2 linked regions of the Oreochromis niloticus genome follow. The protein of the gene in region 2 interacts with the protein of the main gene of each other region in a pairwise test. Links are inferred from orthologs where the notes say so. Each region holds a gene or a part of one and is shown on either strand. Other genes may lie near its edges.

The links. The genes of interacting proteins can lie anywhere in the genome.
Region 1: the proteins of zc2hc1a (region 2) and castor1 interact in binary tests that used the Homo sapiens proteins (3 or more experiments, as listed by UniProt). The two-hybrid records come from large-scale screens. The link is inferred for Oreochromis niloticus from reciprocal best matches to the Homo sapiens genes ZC2HC1A and CASTOR1.

What each region holds. Positions count from the first base shown.
Region 1 is NC_031977.2:29,894,989-29,902,393, reverse strand, and holds the start of castor1 (cytosolic arginine sensor for mTORC1 subunit 1), read left to right. Parts: upstream 1-3,991; 5' UTR 3,992-4,191; coding exon 4,192-4,349; intron 4,350-7,405. Other genes in the region: nipsnap1 (protein NipSnap homolog 1), read left to right, coding at 852-935, 1,484-1,548. UniProt on the Homo sapiens protein: Functions as an intracellular arginine sensor within the amino acid-sensing branch of the TORC1 signaling pathway. As a homodimer or a heterodimer with CASTOR2, binds and inhibits the GATOR subcomplex GATOR2 and thereby mTORC1.
Region 2 is NC_031974.2:23,286,920-23,294,371, forward strand, and holds the start of zc2hc1a (zinc finger C2HC domain-containing protein 1A), read right to left. Parts: upstream 3,389-7,452; 5' UTR 3,289-3,388; coding exon 3,273-3,288; intron 2,798-3,272; coding exon 2,724-2,797; intron 569-2,723; coding exon 452-568; intron 1-451.

The sequences.
Region 1 (7,405 bases), on a different chromosome or scaffold from region 2:
GTTCCAACATAAGCCAGGTGTGTCAAACATCAACAAAGGATGATTTTACACTCGACATAACATTTGGACTTTTGATTGCATCTTGGAACAGGAAGCATTATATTGCGAGTCAATCAAAGTATTAAAGGTGTTTTATGAGTGGTTGTCCATATTTTTGATATCATCTGAACTCTGGTTCAGATGATATTAAAAATATCAAGCCTCTGGGCTTGAATCATAAATTTCACACATTTTTGAAGCCTGTATTATCTCAATGAAGTAAGGGCATTCAGCCAAAGAGCTATGTCAGTGTGTTTCTTTGAAATGACAAGAGCATGAGGAAATACTGAGACATATTGTTGTAATTGCAAATATTTTCCATAAGACATGTTGGGCTGTTTTATTCACTGATAGACAGAATGTACTAATACTTGAAACTCAAAACATACGGGAAGAAATGTTTGGGTGGCTTTTTTACGTTATTATTTAATTGTGGTCTGACATTTATGATCAAATTGACCCATATGTGACCCACGAACTACATGTTCTTACCTGAAATGTGGTAGAACAGGAGATTCACATCATGTACCGCATGTGCAGCCAATGAATTTGCAGTAACAGTGCGATCCTATTATGTGAAAATGGATCAAAATCTCGAAGGAATGTTTCCAGCACCTGGTTGAATCTGTGTGGTTAAGAATTGAGTTCTGATGGCAAAAGAGATTTGGCCTGATGTTAGCAAGGTTTAACTAACGAAGGTGCCAGTGACTGTAAATTTTATCCACACATAATGCAATATAATATGTGTGGTGGAGTTTTTTGGCTTTGCTTTTTTCATTGGAATTTCTTTTTTCTTTGCCGTCTTTTCATAGCTTATGAGAGCCTCCAGTCCCGAGAGGAGACAAGAAACTCTGCCTGGCGGAAAGAAGGATGGGACGTAAACGTGTATTATACAGGTAAGAAAGAAATGCTTCGCCCAGATGCCTTAAAAAAGAAAAATGATTTTGTCAGGGCTACTTTATACCTCATTGATTATTTTTACCTGCAATTATATTGAGCAAAGTTGAGACTCGTAGATCACAAAACTCTTTTAATCATAGTTGCCTACCAACAATTTTCTGCTGAAACGTTTAATGTGGTCGGTGTACTGGATCTGAAATCTGTATTTCTTTGAAGTAGGGCTAAAGTAAACCTTCAGTGTTTTCTTTAAATGTTTGCCACAAAATCAGAAAATTATATAATGCTGCCTCCCCTCCCCCATTGTTGTTAGTGATGGAGATGAAAGGGTTGCGGTAATAATAATAATTTAAAAAAAATCTTAATTTATTGGCCATCCATGGTAATATGAGACTTAAGCAGTGTGAGCATCAAATTATAAAATGATACTGCCCAGCTTGAAGAATTTTAAGAGCTGTATGTTTGTTGTTTGCTTTCCTGTTTGTTTATTATTACAATTGTAATTTTCAGTACATCATTTTCTAACTGTCTTTCTGTCTGTCCTCAGTGCCTTTGTTGCGAAGTATGGAGTCAAGAATAATGATTCCAACTAAGAGTTCACCTTTACAATGAGAAAGCGACTGAGACTGCAAATAATTCAATGACCAAATTTTACTTAACTTTTTGGTCTTACGAATTGTAGTTTCCATTTCTTCTGTATGACCTGTGTTGTTACTAAAAGCATTGAAGTAAAACTTCTGATTCCATGTTTGTGATATTGCCAAAGTCAAAAGTAGTTGTACAATTTCCAAGCACATTCAGTATAAAGAACCTGAAAAACCAAGATTTACAAGGGTTTAGATAAAACACGTGAAGGGGGGGAAAACACAAGAGAAAAAGAGTTTGTGCGTTACGGTGTTATTGAGGAATTTTTACGTTCTGATTTAGTGGAGTGAAGTGAGGTGTGTTTGCTCTATTTTGATCATTAATTGATGTAACGGAACACATATTGGGGTTTTTGTTTGTTTGTTTTCTTTTCCACAATAAAGATTTTTATGATAGTACTATTAAATGTACATGGATGACTTAATGAATGAGATCATGCTGAATTTTGCAACGGTGAATGTAAAACAACTGTTTGATTAAAAAAAAATAAAAACAAAAGCCCACCTCACTGATTGTACTTAAAAAAATTAAGTACATTTCAATTTTGCAGATTCAATTATAATTTAAAGTCAATGTGTAAAGATGTTACATAAATTAATACATTAATCTGGGATATTTTTTTGGGAAATAATAGGTGACCTACACAAAATATGATTATTGTAATATTTAGAATCAACATTAGACTGATGGAAAACAAAAGTATGGAAAACCATACTGTAGTCTTTTTTTCATAGACTAGCTATGTAAGTGTCATAAAAACCATGTCACCCTGAGCAACATCATTAGAGTTGCATCTCTTTATCTTGAGTAATTCTTCTCTACTGGATTAATCCTGAAATGCGAGTTTATGACTGACACTTTTCTGTTTATGAAAGTAACACCTGCGATCATCTGATAAATGAAAACATTATCATATAAGATCAGATCAATAAAATATGAAGTAACTATCAAGCAACTAGTCAGTGAGTTCACCTGTAGTCTATGGCCATTAAGGTCGCAAGAATTTTACTCAGAGGTCAAGTTCAACAAGCATTTCTTTATTGACCTTTGGGCAACGTTACTGAAATAGAAATATCCTTTATTGTCCCTAATTGGGGAATTCACATGTTCCAGCACCAAAGTGACAGGCAGATACAGATTCTCACAAAAGTAAAGAATATAAAATAAAACAAATGGACAGCACATGGCAAATTTACAACGTAACAAAAACAATACTGTATAGTTATTAAAAATATACTCAGACTCAAAGAAATGTGCAGCTGAGTAGGATGTTTTTGGGGTTTTGGTTGTTTTTTTTTACAGAATCAGTGATAGTGCTGTGAAAAGTGCTTAAAAACAACAACGAGAAAGTATTTACAGAACACTGAAAAACTGTACAAATAACAGCAGTGACGCAAACAACTTATTGTGTTCATTGGGATCAGTGATAGATACAAAGTCTAACAGCTGCTGGGAGGAAGGATCTGTGATAGCGCTCCTTTGTGCAGCTAGGATGCAGCAGTCTGTCACTGAAGGAGCTCTCCAGGTCTGCAACAGATTCATACATGGGGTGGGAGACGTTGTCCAAGATTGATTTATTTTGGCCAGAGTTCTTCTGCCTCCTACCACCTGCAGTGGGTCGAGGGGGCATCCTAGAACAGAGCTGGCCTTCCTGATGAGCTTATCCAACCACTTCCTCTCAGCTGTAGATAAGCTGCTGTTCCAGCAGACAACACCACAGAAGATGGCTGACGCCACCATAGAGTCGAAAAAGCTCTTCAGGAGCACACCCTGCACTCCAAAAGATCTGTTTTCTCAGCAAGTAGTCTGCTCTGATTTTTCTAGTAAAGAGTATCAGCGTTGTGACGCCAGTCCAGATTATTGTTCAGGTAGGGGTACACCCAGGTACTTATAAGAGTCCATTATCTCAATGCTAGTTCCCTGGATGTTCACTAGTGTTGGTGTGGTGGATCTGAAATCCATCACCAGCTCCTTGGTTTTCCCTGCATTGATCAGGAGATGATTCTGCTGGCACCAGGCCACTATCTGTACTCTGGGTCATCCTCAACTTTGATGAGGCCTGCTATGGCAGAGTCATTAGACAACTTTGGTAGATTTCAGCATGGGTAGTTGATGGAGGGGGAAAGCAGCAAGTAATCATATTTAAAATGATACTGATATTGTTTTGTTTACACTCTCTTATGAAAAAAAATGTAAATAATTGTAATAATAGTAATAGTTATAATTATTGTAATCTTTTGTTTTAGTTGTGCAGTCAAATCCGCTAAATGAACAGAAACTGTTATGAGGATATTTGATGGCTTTTAATTTTTTTAAACAAAACCGGAAGTTGTCACAGCTCGTTTCACACCCCCCCTGCGTGCATGTGCCAAACAGCGGCATAAACCTGTAGCTTTAAGAGGAGGGGGCGTGTCTTTTCTAGGGCTGTCCCTTTATTTGAATATACAGTAGTTAAGCGGGGCTGGCGTCTGGTTGCGTCGCATGTTTTTCTCTATTCTGAGAGAAGCACCAGCGTGACGTGGGGTTTTTAGTCGGCGGAAATACTCATGACTTATGTCTCTTTAACATTTGAATGATATCATCCAGCTAGGAAGGCGTTTTCTCCGCCGCATGCAGGAACAGAGCAGTGGAGAGGAACTGTTCGCAACCAGGAATATGGACTTGCACATATTGGACCACAGGCTGAGGGTCACCAGTATATCCAAGAATGGCCTGGTGAATTTCACGCACCCACTGATAAAGCTGATATTTCTCCGGAACAGGACACGGTAAGGAGATTCATTGATCGGGCCAGATGGTCATGTCGCTTCGCTTTACGAATCAGCTTTGGTAATCCAGTACGGATATATGAGATAACCTACAGCGCCTCTTCATTCACTGGGTGGCCGAGCTACTGGGCGATTTGTCTGCACATGCTTTGCCTCCATGAATGATTCACAACAGTGCATGTAGATGTAAAGAATTGCAATAGCTTTTGTTTTTAGACATTCTGTTTTATTGTTGCATTTGCACAAAATCTGCAGCATTTAAACAAACAAACTGAATTTTTGTGCCCTGCATACCTTTAATACGCGATTCTTCCAGTGGGCACAAAATCAACTTTAATCAAACTACTTCAGAAGCGTGCAGTACCGTTGTGTATTTCGGTTGGACCCCGTCTCTCCGAAACAAACTTAATACATGACATCCTGCGCTCGAAACCAACATTCAGTCTGCAAATTTTTCTGATCTCACCCGGGCATTAGTACCAGTTTTCAGCTAATCCCTGGATATCCCTCCATTGTTATGCAATTGTTTATTCTTGCGGCTGGCCCACATATACATGGCCAAAAGAAGAGCTCGACATCTGTCTTCAGACCACCATGATATAGGCCGTGCGGGGTTCAGCTGCAGCTCTCGTTTGAGTAACAAAGAACCTGTAAACAACTGTCTAGAAAGCGCTTCCTTATGTCATCGCCTTTCTGGATTCTGAAGTCTGTATATCACACCATACTCTGAAAGTTTCTTATGATGTACCTTATTTTGGCTTCCTCTTAAAAAGAGAGCAACTTTTTCATTATTCGGGGCTGATGGGCAGTAAAAGTGCATTCTTACAAGACCATGAATCCCGTTGTGTCTATGTTTCCTTTTCAAATGCATCCCTGTACGTGCTCGATTGTTTTCATCAGTACTCTGTTGTGTATTGGATAATGGAATAAGTTTTGACATGTTCACACTAGACACACTGTGTCATGATGACTTACACTACAGTACTGTAGAAAGTAAATAACATGTCTCTGTGAATAATCATAGATGTGTGGGATTTGTGTGAGGAAGGCATTGGGCAACCGGTTAACAAGAAAACCCATATAAGTATATAGTTATTTTTAAAAACTCACTTGAAAGGCATAAGCATTTTTTGAACCGGTTTAGTGAAGCATTCAGTATATGGATAAAAAGTAGGCGAAGCACTGAATAAACCAGAAAAGGGCATTTTGTTCATGCTTTGGAGTTATGTCACCATTGTTTTTCCTGTTTCTTTTTCCTTAAGCAAGAGGGATATTTTTTTTTTTTTTCCACCTTTTGATCAAATGCTAGGTGATGCGGAATGGGGAGTGGTGGAGACATTTGTTTTTAGTTGCTTGATTTCAGTCAGGGAGCAAAAACAAGCCTGATTGCTCCGGGACACTTTTTAGCCATCTCCCTTTTTCAGGCCTCTGCTATTCATTTGTGAACAACTCCCTGTGCAAAGTGATTTGAACGCAGCTCTGAGCAGAATTTTAAGGAGATATTCACATGTGACATAGTGGATTTTTCTTCAGCGTCCTTTAGCACTGGCGCTTACTACGTCTATAGTGCAGAGGCTAAAAGTAGTGAAAGGAACACTTTTGACTTGTCTACAAAGAAATATTCATATGATGGAATAAAGTGTGCACTATTAGCTACAATATTGCTCTGTAAATGTCAGTGTCATTACCAACTTAAACATAAATGTCAAATACCCTGTTTTGCAGAATATAAAATATCTAAGGATGTCAGTGAATCCTCCCAGAATGGCTGAAAAAATGTGCACCTTGGGCTTCCAAGCCATTCTAGTCTTACTAGTATTCTGGCTTTGTCTTTAGTAGTTGTTTACACTTTGTAGGTAGAGTAATAAACGAAGCTCAGCATCAGCTCAATATATTGTTCTTCCTGAATTGTGGATGTAGCCCCGCAGGCTCCACACAGTCCTCCTTTCTTCTCTTTGGCGGCTAGCTAACAAGAGCATGGGTTGGAACAATGCTTCAGCCGAGCCAGAAACCCGGTTGGGAGTTTTCCACTTGTCTGCTTCAGTGATCCGTCAAGGTTGGGGCTCCCACTCCTCCTGTTTACAGAGGACTTCCCACACCCCGTACCCACCCGCCTTTTTGGAAAAGGGGGGCGAAAAGGAAGCCTGATAGAAAACTAAGAGTGTTGTTTTCATAAGTTGCTAACGTAGCAGACAACTTGCCGTGCTCTGATCATAGGACTTGAGTCGCTTGAGGCTCATTCCTCGCCCTTCAGCGTCAGTTTTCTGTGTGCTTATCATGTTTTCTCAGCTGGAGCATCAGTTGCAGGCCCAGTGCCGTCACCAGCCCTCACTCCCTAGGTGCTGCTACCCCCCGTTGTTTTGTGCAGCTGGATCAAAGTCCAACCTCTTGTGTGCTTGGTTTTCATCTTCCCCACTTGGCCGCTCCCTCGCTACCCGTTGCTTCCTCATCACTTGTAGTTATTTTCATCTCCTTCTCTCAGTGTTCCTTCTACTTCAACAGAAGCTTATTTTTCCGACCCATGTTACTGGATGCTGGTCAAAACATGTTTGGGGCACTGACTTTGCTAATTATTTTTTAAAAATATGTCCAGCTATTATAATATTTTAATCTTATTCAGTGTTCTCACACCAGAACTGAGTATAGGTTGTTTTCTCCAGCTATTTTTTTTTTTTTACAACCTCTAGAAATTTTAAAGTTAAGCAGCCTCTTGAGAATCTATGTGAAAAGTATGCTGGTGTTGTCACTGGGGCAGAACACAGCACCTTGGTAACTTAGAAAATCGAGCTTTCTGATGTGTGTTTTTTAATGTAATTCAAGCAGCTTTTGTGCCTAACCAAATAGCAACTAAGTTTTCTAGTCGAATATCAGGTATGCAATCTCAGTGTGGCTAGTGCTTTAAGTCTACCCACATATACTGGATCTCCCACAACAGACGGCATATTAAAAACCAAATGTGCTCAAGCATAATCTGGCCTTAGATACTTTGCTACTGAGATATATTTGGTTGGTGCCTGAACCTACAGTGGCAAGCCTGTAAATGCAAAACCAAGTTA
Region 2 (7,452 bases):
TAAAACACTGAATGTGCTGCATGGAACTGAAAATTCATAGGAGCCACTCAACACCCTAAGTGTCATAATGCCGTGTATATTTCAAAGGCTGATTCTTTTCTGGGTCCTCCCTGGAAAGCCTTCATGTGATCCGGATTATACAAGGTTTATCTGGACAACTTGTTTGCAGTGTAATATGAAGTTTTCGCATAATTAAGGAATATGGACAGCATTGTTTCCTTTAGGTGTTGTATTATTGGATACAAGACTGAATAAATAACCTCAGATTAAAACCAGGTCATTTTTTAATAATAAAAGCTGGGCGTATTTATGAATGAATAGATTACCTAAAAAAATGAACAACAGTGTTTTAACAGTGTGAAATCCAGCTAGTTTTCTGACTTTAGGCAATTTTTTTTTCAATCACTGCTGACAATTTATGTGGATTTCCATCGCTCTGCTGAAGGCTTACCTTTGGTTTGATGGGTTTCAGTACGGGGATGTCTGTTCCCTCAGCTCTTTGTCTGCTGGAGTCAAAAACCTTCCTCTTTTTAGTTGCTGATTTTTGGCAGATTTTTGCGTGCTTCTCCTGTTGGAGGAGGACAATGTGCACAAAACATGACAAAACATTTTTATTTGTTTTTAACACCACTGGCATCACTTAAGATCTGTCTTTTACTATAATTTAAGTTTTCAACGACATTTTCCTAAATGAATTTCTTGAAAGAGGAGGAAACCTTCTTTCAAGCATTTCAAGCTCAAATTTATATGAGTAAGATCAACAACACCAGTAACCTCCTCAAAGCTGTAGCCAACTCTCTAGCACACTAATGTCTTCCTGATGGAGAACCAAGCATATATTGCTATACATACCTAGAATAATACACCATTCTTTAATGCAGCCATTATCTACTAATGAGGCTGAGTGCTTGCATGGGAGCACATATTTGGTTGTTTACCTGAAAATACTCTTCAAATTAAACACCAAAATCTTTATAGCTTCAATGTATTAACTCTGTATTAAGTTTTAGTCATTTCAACATAATAAACAAAGGAATAGAGGATTTTTGGGGAGTAAAATATATAAACTCATTAGCGACTCTGTTAGGTACACATTAGTACCAGGATGAACCCCCTCTTTCCTTCTTAGCTGCCTTAATTCTTGTTGCATGAGATTTGGGTGCACACTGACATGATAGCGTAACACAGATGCTGCAGATTTGTCAGTCATTGTCATATCCACAATGTAAATCTCCTATTCTAAAACATCCCAAAGATGTTGAGATCTGGTGGCTGTGGAGGTCATCTGAGTACACCGAACTCACTGTGACTTATAAGAAGCCAGTTTTGAGATAATCTCAGCTTCATGCCATGTTATAATCAGAACATCAGAACATGTCATGTTATCAGTAGATGGGTACACTGTGTTAATAAAGGTCAGGAACAACACTCAGGTAGACGGCTGTATCAAAACTATGCTATCCTCCACACCATTACCAGCAACCTGAACTGCTGATACAATGCAGGACTGAGCCATGCTTTCATGCTGTTTACATCAAATTATGAGCCTCCCATCCAAATGGTGCATCAAAAACTCGTAAAACCAGACAACACTTTTTTACAAATTGTAGTCTTAGTTCCCTGTTCTCAGCTGATAAGTGTGGCACCTGGTGTGGTCTTCTGCTGCCGCAGCCCACATCTGAATGTGCTTGTGTTCTGAACACAGAAGAGCATTCAGAGATGCTCTTCTGTGTGCCTTTGTTGTAACAAGCAGCTATTTTAGTTACTGATGCCTTCCTATCTGCTTGAAGCAGCTGGGCCTTTCCCCTTTGATATCTGACATCAACAAGGCATTTTGACCCAGATAACTGCCGCTCCATGAATATATTCTTTTTTTTCCTGTCGATTCTCTGTAAGCCCAAGAGATGGTTATATGAGAAAATCCCAGTAGATCAGCAGTTTCCGAAATACAGATGAGTCTATCTGTCATCCATAACCATGACTCAACACCACAGTCTTTTCGCCTATATTAATAATAATAATGATAATAATAATAATGGATTGCATTTATATAGCGCTATGACACCACCCCTACCTGCATGTGCTGCAGACAGTGCTGAGAGTACTGTATTGCTGAACATGCTGTGAAGCCATCCTTTCTAAACAATCTCCATTCACTGATTTAGATGATGAAGTGAAAGAAAATGCTTCACATGATACAGTCCAGTTGACACCTGTGCTACAATTCATCTATATACAAAAAATGGCCCACTATGAAATTAATTAAATAATTAATTAATGACCAATATTTCCAACTCCATTTTATGGGAAAACAGTACTGCTAGAGAAGTTTCTTAGTGAAATTTTTAAATCAGAGTCTTGAATATCACAAATTTGTTCAAACAAAAAGCATTTCTGCTTTGATAAAACCTTCTACTCCCCTACAGAGCTCTTCACACGACCCTGCTAGCTATCTGGATCATAGCCAGGGACACATTATTATTGAACAAACAGCTGATACCCTGTCAGCTGAGAATTAATGTGGTAAATACTGTCAGCCAGGCGGGTTAATCACAGTGCGTGATCAACACACACACACACACACACACACACACACACACACACACACTTAAAGTGTCTGCGATTAAAATATTGTACTCTTAGAACAGTGTTACACATTGTTTTGTTTTTTTGTATTAAGAAATGTCAGAAATGTGCAAGAGGTGGTTTGGGGTTTTTTTTACCAGGACTTTGGGGAAGAAACATCTTTTACAGGTATTACACTGAACCCGATCGTCAACCAGAGAAGCTTCGCCATCTGCAAGAATAACAGAATAAATTCTGATTGTGGTGAAGGTTTAAGGAGCAAACATGGACCACAACGGGACTAAACAAACATAGGAAGAAAAATAATGACCTAGTTAACATTTGATACAAGGTAAACACTTCGCTGTCATAAATTGTGTTCCTCTGCCACAGTAAAGGCAACAATGTTTTGTTGTTCGTTTAGATGGTGTTATTTGTTAGGAGTTTGCTGGTTAGCTGGATAGCTCCTCTAGCTAGGAATCACACCCATTCAGAGAGGAGGAGCAGCTAGCTTCTTCTTTGGCCCTGACGTTACCTAGCATTACTTGGGCTAAAACCCAAACAAAAAGGAGGTCGCTATGCAAAACTGTTCATCTAAAGCAGCCGCGAACCCCAACGCGTCCACTTGGCAGATAAAACCGAAATGCTAAAATCCCAAATTTGCCACAAAAGGCTGAAGTAAACACACGAACAGCAATATCGCATACCTTCAAATTCTTCCATCCTTAGGTTATCCCTTGTCTGGTCCTGCTGCTGTTGTTAGAAAACGGCCAGACGTAGACGGAAAATACAAGATGAAAACCCCTCTTCATTTCCGGCTTTGCTAAAACGGGAGAAAGGTTTTAGTTTTACCCTTTTATCCTGTAAGGAAAATTACTTTAATTTCCATATAAATTGATTCTGCAGTGTATTGTGAATTACTGATGTCCTGTGCAGATCTACATTTTTGGTTTGTCATTTTTTATGTTTTGTTTGTTTCTCTGTGACTTATGTCGACACTAGTTAGTCTTTTCTGGGACGTTATTATCCTGTTCCAATTCCCAATGGCAGGTAATTATCTTGACACTACTGATCTTTGGCTACCGATAGCAACTGGGTTGTCCGATGCCGCTCGGTGAGCTAACATGCGAGTATTTCATTGGTTGTTACTGCACTGTTTCTGATGGAGTGTTAAGTATGCACTGTTTATTTTGGACAGCAGGTGGAGCGTGGGAGGGAACCTCTGTCATGTTTCCCAGTACTACTCCTAACCATAAAATTTTTTTTGGAGTTTGCGTAGCTCAGTTTTCGCTGGAAACTCGCAAATGTTGCTGTTACTGGGACGAAGTCTTTTTTTTTTTTTCAATTATTTTAGCTATAGAAATAAATAAAAAACGAAATGCTATTAGTTATTAGTGTTGTTGTTGATTCAAAGTTATGTAAATGAGTAAACAAGCTGGTAGCTTTACCTTGCATCTCAGCTTTGTTTGGAGATGGTCATTTACAGATAACTCGTTATATCAACCAGACACCCAAACTAGTGTGCTCATTTGCTGCTTTTGTTAGCTCAAACACTTGCGCAGACCAAACACTAGGAAGTTCCTCATTTGCCATACTGACAACATGTGTCATCTGAATGGAATGATTCATGGACAGATGCTAAGAGGGCACAGCAAACATGTGCCTTTATCACAAGAGGGGCGTTGTTTCAACACTGACTCCCTTTTGTGTGATCTCTCACACCACACACACGCCCAAGCGCGATGCCTTTTCACCATTTCAAATTATAGCAATGGAATAATAACCATTCGCCAAGCCCTAACGTATCCTAACCTTTAAACAAGTCTCTGTCCTAAAATTTAATGATTTTACACACACATTCACGGTTAAAAGATGCACTTGGCATTAAAGTGTATGGCTCTCACTTTGTCAGATATTAATTAAGGAATGTGGTGCAAGTATTCCTATTACTAATCCTATATGTGTATTTATTTATTTATATGTATATTTATCTATTTAATCAAATAAAGGAGTAGGTAAAGTAGCTGGTAATGAAAAACTTTTCTGTTAAGCGTCCCTTCAAAGTAATGCGGTTTTATTTTGAAAGTGATACTCGGAAGTAGCTTCGGTGTGCTTGATTTGCTTGACATTAGTAATTCTCTTTCATGAGCGCATTGGGGAATACCGAAATGGCAAGATCCGAGCCGATGTGATTGACCCCTGCGAATATTCGGAAGCCATTTATCCCAAACAGGTAGCATACCTTGCTGATCATATTAAGAATAATAACTGCAGGTGCAAAGTGCGCAAAGCTCGTAAATGCATGTGTAATGTTAATATCATGCAGGCTACGTTTACTGGCACTGACCTGACTCTGTGGGGGTCTTTGTCATCAAAGACAGACGAATGGCTCTTGGTTTTAATAATGAATTTAAACATTCAGATTCTCCTGCAATCTTAAGCTCGTCTGTATTTAAAGGTTATATGTATTTAACAAAAAAAAGAAAAAAAAACTAGCGCTTTATTATTTAGGACGCCAATGCGCGTGACTGCAGCGCTTCCACTTAGCCTTTAGTAGGTGATAAATTGTCATTTTGGACATAGAGGTCTTTGTGGAGTGACGTCGCACTCACGCAGACTCGCGACGAACTTTTAAATAAATCACTTAGCTAAGCCTGCCTTAAATATGTACGAGCTGTAGAAATAACAGTAAAACATCTGTGCGCTCTTACATGGAGGATGTTGACAGCTGCGCGTGAATCCGTGGTTAAGGAGAAATTGTTTACTTTTGCGCTTGGCACGGTGATGTTGGAGTATAGCATGTCTGTTTGTGTATGCGAGCATGAGAGAAAAAGTGAGACCACTGGCATCAGTCCCAGGTATGCCCAGGCCACCTAGAATAACTCTGGCATAAGTTTCTGGGACTCGTTCATGTACTGCCTTTATCACTGCTAATTTTCTGTTTGGCAGCATAACAAATCAAACAGCTGCAAAGCAGGAGTAGACTTTTTCTCTCCCCCCCCAACTTCATAGTGAAAGACAGAGAGGGCTGGCCTGTTGTATTATTCAGCGATTTGATCATTTGTTTGGAGTCTGTGCTATATATATTGGTGTCCAGGCCAGCTGAGCTCTACTTCCCACATGGGAGTAAAACCATGAGGACAGCAGGAGTATTCTACTGCAAGAGCGCGCGCACACATCCACACACACACACACACACACACAGCTGAGTAGCCGATGTTCTAATTCATGGGTACAACAGTCTGACTGAATTATGTAAACTGGCAATTAATATTTCATAGAATATGAGCATAGGAGAAAACATCGCAAAATGTCCTGTCACTTCTAACTTCAACTTCTAACTTCAAATATAAACACAGCTTCAGTGGAAAAAATGTCTGCACTTACAGATCTGGCAATGATAATGAATCCCAATTAGATTCACTTATGTTCTATCATAAGACAGGTTCTTTATTGAAAGGTGTGGGCAAGAATTTTATATCTCATTTGGTTCTACCAGTAAAGCCTGGGACATTTACTCATGCAAGCTAAATGAACCAGCTGTTTACATGATGTAATGTTTCAAATGATATTTCTTCTTTATTGCTAATAAACCAGTCATACCTATGAGCACAATCCAGTGCCCCGATTCTCATATTAAGTTAGAGAACAGCCGTCTTATCTCTCTTGCTTCCTCACACGTTTGGTCTGTCAGTCGTACACGGACAGCATCTGCTGGGTCTTGCCCATCTTGACACCATTTTGAGAATGACAGCTGAGTGGGAGGGTGCTCAGATGATGACAGAGGAGGCTTCCAAAAATAGCCACGGTCTACCACAACTTTCTCTGGAAATAGCCACAAATGGATGTGAAAGTGAGGCATTTTTAATATATACTTATACATAATTTAAAAATCCTGCATTTGACTTGGGGAAAATCAAACCAACCTTTTTTTGTGACTGAGTGTTGTGATGTCTTCTGAGGTTTTTTATTTTCCTTGAAAATTTTAAAGTAGTGGCAGCAAATAAATGCAGATATCCAGACTGATACAGCCAAAGAAATCTCATAATAGCAGATTTTAATTGAAAGAAATGTGACAACAAAGCCTGAATCTGCTCAGTGCTGAAGGACAGCCTCAGCCAGACAGATTGCTACAAAGGGCTTGAATATAAGCAGAAGGATTTAACCTAAATCTCCGGGGCAGCACAGTTCCCATCATGCTCCATGCTTACTCCAAGTGATATGACAGTACTTTCCTCATTCTGCTTTAATGACCTCTTTAAGTGTGCTCTTTGGTTAATGTAATGCATCAGATTGCCTGTTTATATTTCCCATCGCTCTCCTCGGCATTCCTTCTACTGAATTTGCCTCCTCTGTATCCATGGTGTCGCCCGTACCCTAGACTGAGATTAAAATAGATTAAGCAGGGATTAGGTCATAAGATAAGCGGAGGGAGGGATGTATTCAATGAGTGCCTGCATAGCCTGCCGCGTTACATTCTTCTTGTCAACAAAAACTGGTGTTGCCATTGTGTAAAGTTATTTAGGAGAAGCTGCACAAATTCTGTCCATTTCAGCGATCTTTCCATAAAAGTGGTGCAGATTCCACTGTCTGTGGGTCACTGTGCACCTGTGCAACTTGAAAAGGTGTGTCAGTGTGTGCTGCTGTGTGCGCCAGGCCCTGCTATGGTGAGGTGTGTCAGCGATGACGGATGTGGAGGCGACCTATGAGGACTTCATCGCCTCTCGACGATCTGGCCGCAGGAATGCCATCCATGATATTCCAGACGCCCCTGGAGAACCGGGCACCACTGATCTGTCAGAGAGTCTGGCACAGCTCAACATCAACAAGTCAGGTGAGCAACACGATGAAGAATGAGAACATATTTTGATGGTGACATTAATAATT